3 linked regions of the Notamacropus eugenii genome follow. Each later gene encodes a partner of the first gene's protein in a complex. Links are inferred from orthologs where the notes say so. Each region holds a gene or a part of one and is shown on either strand. Other genes may lie near its edges.

Region 1 (4,091 bases):
AGAGAGAGAGAAAGTTCTAACCAGTGGAACTGTCCAACCATGTCACCCATGCACTCAATGAACAACAGTGTCTCATCCCACTTCCCTCATGAAATATAAAATCCTTGGTTTGGCATTCAAAGCTGTTCAAAACACAGACCTCCCCATCTACCTTCCAGTCTTCTTACTTAGTTCTTACACTTAACACCCTCCGACTCCCACATCACTTTGACCCAACGACACCGATCTTTTTGCTCTCCTACAAAGAAGATGCTCAGTTTTTCAGCTGGGCATTTTCTCTGGCTGTCTCTGTGCGCTGGAATGCTCTACCTCCTCTTCTCTCTATCTTTTGGCTTCCCGGCTTCCTTCCAGTTACAACCAAAACCACACCTTTCACAGGAAGCCTTTCCTATAATTACCTCCTATTCATTCTGTATATAGCTTGTATGTATTTGCATGTTGTCTTCCCCATCAGACTTCGAGCTCTTTGAGGGTAGGGACTGTCTTTTGCTTTTTGCTTTATCCTTTGCACCTAGCACAGTGCTGGGCACACAGTAGGCACTTAGTAAATGGTTATTGATTAACTGGATGTCTGGATAAGTGAAGTCCCCTGTCGCGGTCCTCATCCCTTCCCTACGCCAGTCTCCTGATTTGTTTCCCACACTCCTCACCCAGCTCTTCTTTCTACATGTCAGTGACAGTCATTCGCGTCTTGCTCCGCTGACCTACCCCCAAACGTTCTCCTCTGTAAAATGAGGGTGATACTTTCATTATGGGCCTCACTGTTGGACCACGGTTGCTGAGAAGATCACTAAGACGCTGGAGGTAGCGCTCTGATCGATCCGGGGTCTCGCTCCTCGCTTGCGCCCCCTCGGATTCTCAGAGGTCACCTCTCTCTTTCCGGCTGGCAGGGCCTTCCCCCTGAGGTTGCTTCCTTTTACACTGCACCTAAGGCGTGTGTAGAGGCATCTGACCGCTGACTTGCCCTGTAGAAATGGAGCTCCTGAAGGACTGCTGATCTACCGTCCCAGTCCTTGGCGCAGGGTCACAAAGTAGGCGCTTGTTCATTCAGCGGGGGACGTGATTGATATGGGGGGGAAGTGCTCTGCAAACCTTACAGCGTTAATGAAAGGTAAGCTCCTAGAGGATTTGATCCATCATTCTGTCCCTTTGGATAGATAGGAACCGGCGCAACCACGCTAGCTCAGATAAGGCTGGAGATGGAGCTGCAGAGCGATCCGCCCGGGTCTAAGCACGCGCGCGCGCGCCCTACAGGGAGCGCGTTCCCCCAACTGGGCCGGGGGCGCGCACGCTCTGCGCTCTTACGCACATACGTGTGACGCGTTAGGGGCGGAGAAGACGTCGGGCCAGCGGTTCCACCGGCGGTTCCCGGAGCTGGATCTTCTCTCTTTGCCGGCAGGTTTGTGCGTCACCTCCTTTCGTCAGGACCCGGCCCCGCTGCGGCTGTGAGCCCTTTTCTTCTCTCGCTTCGCCTCGCTCTCCGAGGCTCGGCTCCGGTGTAGCCCTCTGGGCACGCGCGGCCTCGGTTTGGCGGCCCGGACGGGAGCGTGTTGTCCGCCGCCGGCCCCTGAGGTCTCGCGTGGCCGAGGTCGGTGACGGATGCCGCCGCAGCCCTTGTCCTTAGCGCCGGGGTGCACGGCCGCGGCCCCCCTTAGACAGCAGGGCAGACTCAGAAAAGCTGCAGTGGGAGCGACCTCCCCCGTGGTGTGAATGAATTAGCGACCCCCCGGAGGTCAGTCCGAGGCTGCCAAGGCCTTGAGTGCAGAGAAGTAAAACGACTTGTGCAGGACCCCGCGGACACGGAGGGGCGCGGGCCAGAGTGGGACTCGCAGCCCCTCGTTTTCCCTTGCTTTCCCCGTTACTGTACGCTGCTGCCACCCATCATTGAGCTCCTTAATTCGATTCTTAAACGTTTATGTTTTCCCTTGAATTAAGGAAATGAGGAAAGTGGATGACCTGGTATTAAAAGCCAGCGTCTTCCATGAAGACCCAAAATGTTGAGTTGGTTTGCCTTTTAGTCTTCTGTAGGGGCTTCTTAGACTGTGGGCCTCGAGTGGAAGGAGGAGGAGGAGGGTCTTCCTTGGCGTGTGGAGGAGTATAGCTTGTAGCGGTAGAGTTGTAGGCGCGGTTGGGACGGTGAGGGGCCTTGGGGAGTGTTTCGATTCTCCCTAGTCTGTGTTGAAGTGTTAATCGTCTGCCGTTGCCAGGATTATTTCTTAATGTTAGAAGCAATGGGATGCACGATAAGAAAGCATGCTTTCTGATAAGTGAATTCTCCTCCACAGGACTCAGACTGACTGTTCAGGATGTCGTACATGCTTCCACATTTGCACAATGGTTGGCAGGTGGATCAAGCGATTCTTTCAGAAGAGGACCGAGTTGTTGTTATTAGGTTTGGACATGATTGGGACCCTACTTGTATGAAAATGGATGAAGTTTTATATAGTATTGCAGAAAAGGTAAACCTTATTTGAGTAGTACTTTTAATGCCATGATCCCTCATGTTTGTTTGTTTACAAAGCCCTTTGATGTCCTTTTTCTCCTTTGATCCTCCTAACAGCCCATGAAATAGGCAGAACAAGTATTATCTTCATATTACAGATGAAAAAATGGAGACCCAGAGAGGTAAAGTGACTATAAAGGGTCATATGGCTATATGGGGATGGAGGCAGGACTTGAACCTAGAACTCCTAATTCTCTGTTCTCTTTCCATTCTTGCACACTGCTATGACTTGTAATTGAAATCATTAATTAGGTTATACTCTTTTTTGCCTTGAACTGAGGAAATGAATTATGTATATGATTTAGGATTAAAAGCCACATTTCATATTTTCATCCAAAATTTTGAATTGATTTGCTTCTTAGTATACCAATACATAAGGTTAGATACTTAAGGTATTTTTCAAGATTTTTCAAGATTTACTTACCCCATCATTCAAGATTGAAATGAATCAGAATGATAATAAATGGTAAATAAAAAAGCATCTGTAGCACAGGCTTCCTGCACAGAGAATAATCAGTGAGTGTTTTTGATTCATGCTTTCTTGATTTAAGGGTCTTACTGCCTTCTGCTTTTTGCTACTTTCAGCATTAGCCTATTTTTGTGACTGTTAACAGCTACAGTTGTGAAAATTAGTTAATTTGACTTAGAAGAAAACATTAGCCTAAAATAGCCAGTCTAAATTTTCAGTGGATATTCCAGGAGTGTTATGCCTTATTTTTAGAGGCGAAATTCTCCTTCAGTATCCTAGAAGCTCTACTCTATATATGCTTAAATTTGGTTTTTAGTACCTATATTTTAAATTTTCTGAGACATGTGTTAAATGCACCTACATAGAGCATGCTATAATCTTGAAATTAGTGTCTTTAATATTGTTTTGTGCTCTTTGGTATTCATGTATGAGCTAATTGATATTTTCCTCTGAATTGATATTTTCCTCCATTTGAAAATAAAACCTTAGACTTGTGTTGTCTAAACCAGAGTACTGTTTCTCAGTGTTCTGTTTTGCCGACAGCAATAATATTAATCTGGGATATCACTGTGTTGTTGGGTGGTAAACTTTTGGCACAGATTTCTGGAGGCTGTGGTAGGAATAATCATTTAGTGTCAAGAAGTTGTGTTTGCAGATGTTGTTATAATGATGATGATAAATTATTGAGATGAAATTGACTAATGTCATATCTCACTTTTGTAAACATGGTTTTTCTTTCAAGTCTTCCATAGTGTTAATAAGAAACACTAACACAAATATATATAACTGTAAATAGATGTAGATATATATACGTATATATATCTCCATACATACATGCATGCATATATATGTGTGTATTTGTTTGTGTATATATGTATATATATATATGCAGGGTGGCTGCTGCTAGGTGGCACAGTGCATAGAGTGCCAGGCCTGAAGTGAGGAAAACTCATCTTCCTGAGTTCAAATCTGGCCTCAGACACTTGGTAGCTGCATGACCTTGGGCTTGTGTGACACTTACCCCTGTTTGCCTCAGTTCCTCATCTATAAAATGAGCAAGAGAAGGAAATGGCAGACCACTCTAGAATCTTTGGGAACAAGAATTGGACACAGTTGAAA
Region 2 (4,091 bases), on another chromosome or scaffold:
CTCTAGGTGATTTTTCTTGGTTAGTTCCAGCTAGCTGTAGATTTGGTTCCATTGTCAAAAACTTTGTAATTTTCTGAAGGCCACTGTTGGTCTTTTCATTGGCTGAGTCCACCTGCAGTCCGCTGGCCTTCTTATTATCTAACTTATTCTCAATGACTTCATCAATTAACAATAACTTATTGTGAAAACTTAACTTTCGCTGTCTCATACTTTGGAGCCTAAAAAATAGGGCTCCAGACCAATAATATTTAGTGGGACATATAGATAAATTCTATTGCAGTATCTCTCAGTCAGTCAATATGCATTTATTAATTGCCTCTGTCTCAGGGAAGAACAATGCAGCCAACTTCCTGGCCCCTTCTCTTGCTCTCCTCTAAGAGAAAGGAATGGTCTCTCTTGAAGAGGCATATATGCAAGATCCCAGAGCTATCCATGGTCCTGTCTCTCCTTATCTATACATTGAGACATCCCCCGTCAATATATGTGATAGATCTTAAGATACATAGCATGCTTCTTCAGTATAGAACTGTGGATCATCTGCATACATAACTGAAATGTGAAATGAGGTTACCAAGAGATCATATGAGAGCAAAACGGGGGTTGTAAGCCTCTTGTACACAGGGTCCCCGGATCCTGGTAAGAACTGTGGCTCCAGGCCCCTCTAATGCACCTACCCACGTGATACACAACCAAACTCAGCATCTCTGTTGTTATTTCAATGGCCTCCAAACAGGAGACGCCGGCAAACCTCCAGTGCCGCCGCCCACAGCCGCAGGCACATGCCAGGGGCTTCATTTTAAGGGGTGGTCGTGTGCACTGCACACAGTGGTCTGGTAATAAATGTTTTATGAGTTTATTTTAAGGTTTGAGAAAGCATATGTGTGAGGGTGGGACGGAGGAAAAAACCAAGATGGCAGTAGCGGTTCGGACCATCACAAAGGAAATGGGAGACACGTGTACAGCGTTTGGCTGTCCTAGCTCCTGGGTCCCCGTGGCCACTGGCCCACCGGGCCTCCGTAGCTCCGCCCCTTCCCGCAGACGCCAGGCCCAGCCCGACCTCGGCCTAGGGGGCGGAGCCCGGCGTTCAGGCTCCAGCACGTCTGCGCCGCTGCCGGACCGACTCAGCGACCTCGGGAGCCCCGCCGGCCGGCTTCCGCTTCCGTGTCAGGATCATGGCCGTGGCAAATTCAAGCCCCGTCAACCCCATCGTCTTCTTCGACGTTAGCATCGGTGGCCAGGTGGGACGGGCATGGATCCAGGCAGTGCAGGATGACTGGGGAAAGGGCTGAAGGCGACTGCTGCCCGCTGCTCCGGGAGCACGGGGGGAGCAGTGGAACCCCGCGAACCACATGGCGAAGGGGGTGAAGTCTGAAAAGTGGGCGGGATCCATGTGTCCGGAAGATGGGGGGGAATGGGCGGGACCATGGGCTGGACCAAAAGACTCTAGGATGGGGGGAGAGCGGGCGGGACCAAACGGCTCGGAAATGGGGGGTAGCGAGCGGGACAAGGAACAAAGAGAAGGGTCAGAATCCAGGATGGGTCAGACTGACCGGGACCTAGACCCTGGAGCCTGGGCAGAATGCATTGGCAGAACCAAATATGGAGGTGGGGGGACCATGGGACGGGGAATAACGGGAGGGACATGATGAGATGACGTCACCGACACGCCCTGGCACTGCCCCGCCCTGCAGGAAGTTGGCCGAATGAAGATTGAACTCTTTGCGGACATCGTGCCCAAGACCGCGGAGAATTTCAGGTCCGGGAATTGCCCCCCCACCCCCGTCCCCGAGGGCGTGGGGAGGTGGGGGAGGGAAGGAGACTTAGCCCACGTGTCTGTGCCAGCGTCCGTCCGTCCGTCTGTAGCATCTTTCTTCCCTACAGTCTGATTTGTTTTGCCCGTATCCTACTTTAGAGCATAAGCCCAGTAGTGGGGTTTCTGGGTCAAAGGGTAACAGCCTTTCTTGCATAATTCCAAATAAGTTGGGTCAACTCACGGTTTTATTCCATCCTTATATTTTTCCATATTTGCCCATTGTTATCCGTCTCTCTTTTGTCTTCCTCTGCATTCTTTTGATCCTTAGTAATTTGGGGCAGTTTTTCAGATGATGTGTTGATGACATATATCTTTGAAAACTGGCACATAGTAAGCATTTAATCAGTGCTATCTTTCCATCTACTTATTTTTATCCCATGATCGCAAGTCTCTTGGAGTCATAGGTATGTGACTTCATAATCTTAGAGATTTCCCTTAAGATTATGATTCCAGAGTCTTGATGACTTAATATTAGGAGGTTTGCAGTAATTCTCTATAGATTTTGGATGTTAGATTCTCATAAGATAGGTTTAATGAAAATATTTTTCTCATTCATATCTTTTCCTTTTTTTCTAGTTGCATTATTTTTGTTTTATAGTTGAAATTGTATGTTTTATTTTATATAAATATAAAAAAATATAGTATTTTAATATAATTTTATATTTGTCTTATATAAAATAAAAATAAAATATATATAGTTTTATATTTTTAATTTTATAGTTGAAATTGTATGTCTTGTTTTATTGCAGCTGGTTGATTAAAGATTGATTCTTTAATCCACATTGTGGAAGATGACCTTCCATGGCCCTCTAATTTCTTTTTTGGGGCAACATTTTATATTTAGATTGTTTTTTAGAATCATGTTTTTGACTTGAAAGAAACTTCTGGGACCATATGTTCCCACCCCCTCATTTTGCAGATGTGCCTTATCTCCACGGAGGTTTTGTGCCTTTGGTAATAAGTGTCTGAGACAGAATTTGAACACAGGTCTTCTGACTTGAGAACCAATGATCTTTCCTACCAGACTGCTATCCTGTTTTCTCAGTGTTTCCTATCAAATAAAGAGTCCAGTAATTTGTGTACCTTGGGCTTGTCAAACATTGGATGCTGTGCTGATCTGATTCTAGGTTTTGCTAGCTAAGATTATTCATCATTCTAATTTTTTATATTTTTTAGCACCACGTAGTTTTGATGGTTACACTGCTTTGTGTAACATAACTTGAGACCACTTTATACCAAACACCCTTCACTCCTACTTCTTTCCATTTTCCTCGAAGGTGGTGTTTTTTGTTTTGTTTTGTTCTTGAGGTGGGGGAGATCATCTGTCTGCTTGTCTGCCTGTCTTACTGTTCCCAGTATCTGGGGGTAGGGAGGGAAGAGCAGAATCCCTATTGTTGTGTACCTGTCTCTAATGTTTGTGATTATTTTGTTTCTGTCATCTCTGTGTATATGGTGGCCTGTAAACAGTGTCAGGTTGTACGTGCGCGCGTGCACACACACACAGACGCACACACACTTCCCTGTATGTGTATGAGCATGTGGGAACCTCTGTTTACAGATGGCTGGGGTATCTCCCTTACCCAACCCCTAGGTCAAGGTTTCTCTTTTCTATCATTTCTCAGTATGTATGGTTTGGCAGATAATATTTTTCTTTCTTTCAGGCAGTTCTGCACAGGAGAATTCAGGTTAGTCTAGAAATTGCTTATTTCCCTTAGGCATGGCTTGGGTGGGAGCCACCTGCCCAAAGCTGGAGTCAGTACCCTTGGGAAGCTTCCATCAAGGCCTAGGGAAGCTGCTGGGATCAGGGATGCAGGCGCACTTCTTCTCTGTCACTCTTCTCTTTTAGTCAATCACCCTATCTTCCTACTTCTCCAGAGGCAATTTGGGGAGGGGTCTTTCTCCACCTCAGGGGTGCTTTACAGAGGGGCCTGGGATTGCCTGTGGTCCCTCCATTTCTCATCTTTCTCCTTGGTTGTAGGAAAGATGGAGTCCCTATCGGATACAAGGGAAGCACTTTTCACAGGTAAGGTTTGGGGCTTCCAGGGACACCTTCCTGTGTGTCATGAGTCACTTTCTCCTTTCTGATATCTTTGTCTGTCCTGTTTTTAGGGTTATAAAAGATTTCATGATCCAAGGAGGAGACTTTGTAAATGTAGGTACTGTGTAAGTTTGTCTTGTTCCAGCTTTGCCAGAGTTTTGCTTTACCCCCTCTGATTCACTATCTGATTTACTAGAGAAGAGGTTGGAGGGAGGGGTGGTAGACGCGGGCTCTTTCTGT
Region 3 (4,091 bases), on another chromosome or scaffold:
CCTAATTCTAAATGATTTAGCTTTTCTCAGCAATGAGAACAAAGACAACTGCAAAAGACTCACGATGGACGTTCTCTTTTTGTTTTTTCCTTCTTTCTCATGGTTTCTTCTTTTGGTTCTAACTCTTCCTTACAACATGAATAATGTGAAAATGTTTAATATGAAATGTATATGTATAGCCTATATCAGACTGCATGCTGTCTTGGGGTAGAGGAGAGGGAGGGGGAGAAAATTTAGAACTCAAAATCTTATGGAAGTGAATACTGAAAACTAAAAGTGAATGAATGAAGAGAGGAAGAAATGAGGGTCCTGAAACAGATGTCCTCCAAGGTCCTTTCAGCTTTGTGTAAAAGATAGCTAGGTGCTAGATTTAGGAGTCGAAAACAGATGGGTTCAAATTCTACCTCTGATAATAGCTTTGTGATCATGACCAAGTGACAAAATCACTTTTAGCCCCAGTTTCCTTAGCTGCAAAATGGAAATAATAGTATTTGCAGAGACAGGATGATGGAGTAAGTGCATAGAGAGTTGGCTTCAGAGTCATGGAGATAAGGATTGTTGCCAGCCTTCTGTAGTGGCTGTGTAACACTGGACAAATCACTTAACCTGAGTCCTCAGACAAAAAAAAACTACAGAGCATGCCAGTTCTGCAAGGTTGAGGAAGTCTCTTTACTCTGGGTTCCCTTTACCAAGAAATCATAGAACCGGTTAAAAAAAAACAACCCCCCCAAATTTTGTAGAAATAATAAGGCCTAACAAGGTGACTGACTAAATAAGATGCTATGTGTAAAACCTTTGAAAATCTATATGAAAATCAACTTAAAAAAAAAATTTGTGACTTGAAATTTCTTTGATATAGACAAGTAATTCCCTGTGAGAAACGTCCTCTCTACCAATGCTGATGAGTAATCTAGGAAATTAAGTGACTTGGCCAGGGATACACCAAAACTTGGATACCAGTTTTCCTGAGGATGGCTCTCTATCCACTCTCCTACCATAAAATGCAGTCTCTACTACAATCATCAAAAATATTATCACATCCTATAATGTTTGACTAGTTAAGGTTAGGTCTGAATTCTACTATTCCTTTTTCTTCACCTCAAATGTGATGTAGGTTTGAGTAATGCACTTTAACTACTAACAAAATCCAAGTGTTGTAATTTTCCAAAGAGATCTTAAAAATCTTTATGTTAAGTACTAATTTCAGACAAGGGAATATTTAAATCTTGAAAGGGATTCCACACCAAATCAGTCTCTCTAGATTTTCAGTTCCAGTCAACAATATCTGTTTCATTAAACTTTTTGTATCTGTGGTCCTTTGGATGGCTAAACACACAGGAAAGCGGGCTGGATCTGAGTCAAAATACTAATAATATACAATGTAACAAATATGTTACAGGTATAACGCACTGACGTCCAAGAGCATTTAGAGTTGTATTAATGCACTGTGTTGGTAATATGAGCCATTCTCCAATGTTAGGAAAAGTGCTTCACAAACCTTCAGTGATGGTACAGTGCTAGCTATTATTCCCATTCTCCTTCTGGTCCCCACAAACTCTCTCTTGTCACTAAGGATCACTGTCCAAACCCACATGCAGAATGACTGCACGCCAACCACCTGTATCGTACACACACATTCCGCTCTCCGGGTCTCCCCAGGGGGTGGGGAAATCACTTCGCTTCTGATGATGCACTTGGAAGACTCCTAACGGTTCTGTAACTAACAGTTCAGACAAACAGAGGAGCTCACCAAACAGTCCCTGGAGAACACCCCCAAAGCGCGATCCTCACAAACGCCCAACCCCAAGCTCCCCCAGACAAGGAGTGGCCACAGATCCGTAATAAAAACTTAACTCCAGGCCTTTCAATAGAAACTAGGACCCAAAACCACCTCCAGAATTGGACCAGAACAGAAAAGCCAGACCACACCCCTTACCCACCTAAAGAAGTGGGCTCGAATCAAGGAACCAGAACTGCCGGCCGGGACCCCGCCGACGGAGGCGGGGCAGCTCACGGGGACCAAGGGGGCAGCTTTCTGGGCCGAAAGCGTGCTCCAGCACAGCCGCGCCGGGGCCGGCACCGGGGGGGCAGGCACCCAGGGGGGGCAGCTACGAGAGGAGCAGGCACCTGGGGGGCAGCTCCGAGGGGGGCCGCCCCGAGTCACGTCGGCCCCCCATCTCCTAGGCCTCCCCAAGGGCTGGGTGGGGGTCACTGGCTCCGTTCGACTCTAACCCGATCCCCGGACCTACTGACGCGGAGGGAAGGGCGTCCCCGAGGGACGGTTCTCATCCCAAACGGAACACGCTGCGGCCTGTCCCGGGTGGACGCGGCCTGTCCAGGAGGATCCGGGCGCTAGCCGGGCCTCTGGCTCGGGGGGGGGGGGGGGGTGTCTTCAGGAGCCCACCATGTTCCCTGCTTCGTGACAGGAGGGAGACGGGCGGGGCAAAGGGGGCTTAGCTTCGTGGGGTCCCTTCTCGGAATGACCGTGACGTCAGAAAGTCAAACGTCTACGATTTCGAAGGAAATCCTAAAAACGGCCACAGTTAGCAAAAGTGACATTTTTTTCCAAAACGAGCTCAGGAGCCCCGGGGAGCAGCTTTCGACTCCGAACCCGAGCCCCCCGGGACCGCGTCGGCCTGGCCGGCCGGGCCTCGGCTCCCAGCTCGCCCGTTCCGGCTCCGGGGCCGGCCTGCGGCCTTCCTTCCCACGCCGGGGCTGACAAGGCCTCCGGCCGCCCCACGGGGTCGCTTTTCACAGACTGCCGGGGGTCACGGGGGGTGCATTGGACTTTGGGAGGAGGGGTCCGCCGACTCGGAGGACCCAGGAGCGCCCAGCCGGGAGGCCCCGAGAGGCCCCCGGAAACGTTCGGGTCACCCCGGAGAGTTCTCCCCGGAAGGCGCCGCCGCCCCCTGCCCCATGGGTCCCTCAGACCTCGCGGGCAAAGCCCAGCACGCTCCCGGCCCCGCCGCAGCTCACCTCTAAGCTCCTCCGGCCGACGCCAGCCGCGGCCTCGCCTCCGCCTCCCGCCAAGAGCGCGCGCGCTCCCGCTCCGGAGCGGCCTGGGAGCGCGCGCCTCCGCCGGACCAATCGCGGCGCTCCCGGGCTACGGTCAGCCCGCAGGGACAAAATACTGCGGTCTGAGTGTACCTAGTGCTCTTCGGGAGAGCTTGACTCCCGCTCCTCCCCCCGCTGTTGTAACTGTGGTGGAGCGGCCAGGGGCGGGGCGAAGGCCTGAGGGGCGTGGCCAGAGCGACGAGGGCGTGGCCAAGACCAGCTAGGGGCGGGTTTAAGGTAGGGGAGAGTGCCTGTGAAACACCTAAGTGCAGCTCAGAGGACCCAGAGGGCAGAGGCTGTGGGTGTGGATAATCACGGATTTAGAGTCCTTTGGGATAATAAAACCGTGCGAGAGTTGGAAGTTACTGGGCCAGGGGGAGGGGGGCGGGGTTAAGGCAGCATTCAGTCTCAAGTTTTATCCGCTCACTCACCTAAGATGCCTAGCCCAGAAGGCAGTTGAGGGAGAGGAGGAGGGAGAAGCAAGGGGGGGAGGAGGGAGAAGCAAGGGAGAGGTCAGAGGAGGGAGAAGGAGGGGATACAGAAAGAGGAGATAAAAGAAAGGGGGATAGAGAAAAAAGACTGAAGAATGAAAAGGTAGAAGAAGGGGTAAATACATAGAGGGGAGAAAGAAGGAAAAGGAACCAAGGAGAAAAAATGGAGAAAAAGCGAAAAGCATGGAATGCATGCATAGGGTGCCCACCCACCCACATTGTAATGGTGTCTGTTCTCTCCTGTCTCTGGACTGACACCCTGCAACCTTTACACTAAGTTCTCAGAGAAGAACCACGAAGATGTTGGTTGGTTACATGGACAAGGTTTGGGGTTGCTGGGAATCCCGACATTTCAAGGTTCAGAGTGGTATCTGCCTGGAAAGAATTCATGCATTCAAACCTTCTTCCAGTCAGGTGACAAGGTTTATTGTAACACCAATAGGAGTGGGGGAGATTCTTAGGGAATCTGTACTTTCATGGGGGTGAGATTTACGCTTATATACAAAAAAAAAAAAAGGGACAATGAAAAGATATGGACGCGATTAA

Evidence for each region. The genes of interacting proteins can lie anywhere in the genome.
Region 2: TXNL4A (region 1) and PPIH share a complex: the UniProt entries of both Homo sapiens proteins name them as parts of the U4/U6-U5 tri-snRNP complex. The link is inferred for Notamacropus eugenii from reciprocal best matches to the Homo sapiens genes TXNL4A and PPIH.
Region 3: TXNL4A (region 1) and LSM6 share a complex: the UniProt entries of both Homo sapiens proteins name them as parts of the precatalytic spliceosome. The link is inferred for Notamacropus eugenii from reciprocal best matches to the Homo sapiens genes TXNL4A and LSM6.

What each region holds. Positions count from the first base shown.
Region 1 is NC_092875.1:200,534,617-200,538,707, forward strand, and holds the start of TXNL4A (thioredoxin-like protein 4A), read left to right. Parts: upstream 1-873; 5' UTR 874-1,111; intron 1,112-1,256; exon of another isoform or gene 1,257-1,732; intron 1,733-2,285; 5' UTR 2,286-2,306; coding exon 2,307-2,459; intron 2,460-2,560; exon of another isoform or gene 2,561-2,601; coding exon of another isoform or gene 2,602-2,625; intron 2,626-4,091. UniProt on the Homo sapiens protein: Plays a role in pre-mRNA splicing as component of the U5 snRNP and U4/U6-U5 tri-snRNP complexes that are involved in spliceosome assembly, and as component of the precatalytic spliceosome (spliceosome B complex).
Region 2 is NC_092876.1:74,540,737-74,544,827, reverse strand, and holds the start of PPIH (peptidyl-prolyl cis-trans isomerase H), read left to right. Parts: upstream 1-1,044; 5' UTR 1,045-1,172; coding exon 1,173-1,238; intron 1,239-1,691; coding exon 1,692-1,756; intron 1,757-3,474; coding exon 3,475-3,498; intron 3,499-3,791; coding exon 3,792-3,836; intron 3,837-3,922; coding exon 3,923-3,965; intron 3,966-4,091. UniProt on the Homo sapiens protein: PPIase that catalyzes the cis-trans isomerization of proline imidic peptide bonds in oligopeptides and may therefore assist protein folding. Participates in pre-mRNA splicing.
Region 3 is NC_092877.1:143,189,091-143,193,181, reverse strand, and holds the start of LSM6 (U6 snRNA-associated Sm-like protein LSm6), read right to left. Parts: upstream 3,101-4,091; 5' UTR 2,977-3,100; intron 2,171-2,976; exon of another isoform or gene 1,941-2,170; intron 1-1,940. UniProt on the Homo sapiens protein: Plays a role in pre-mRNA splicing as component of the U4/U6-U5 tri-snRNP complex that is involved in spliceosome assembly, and as component of the precatalytic spliceosome (spliceosome B complex).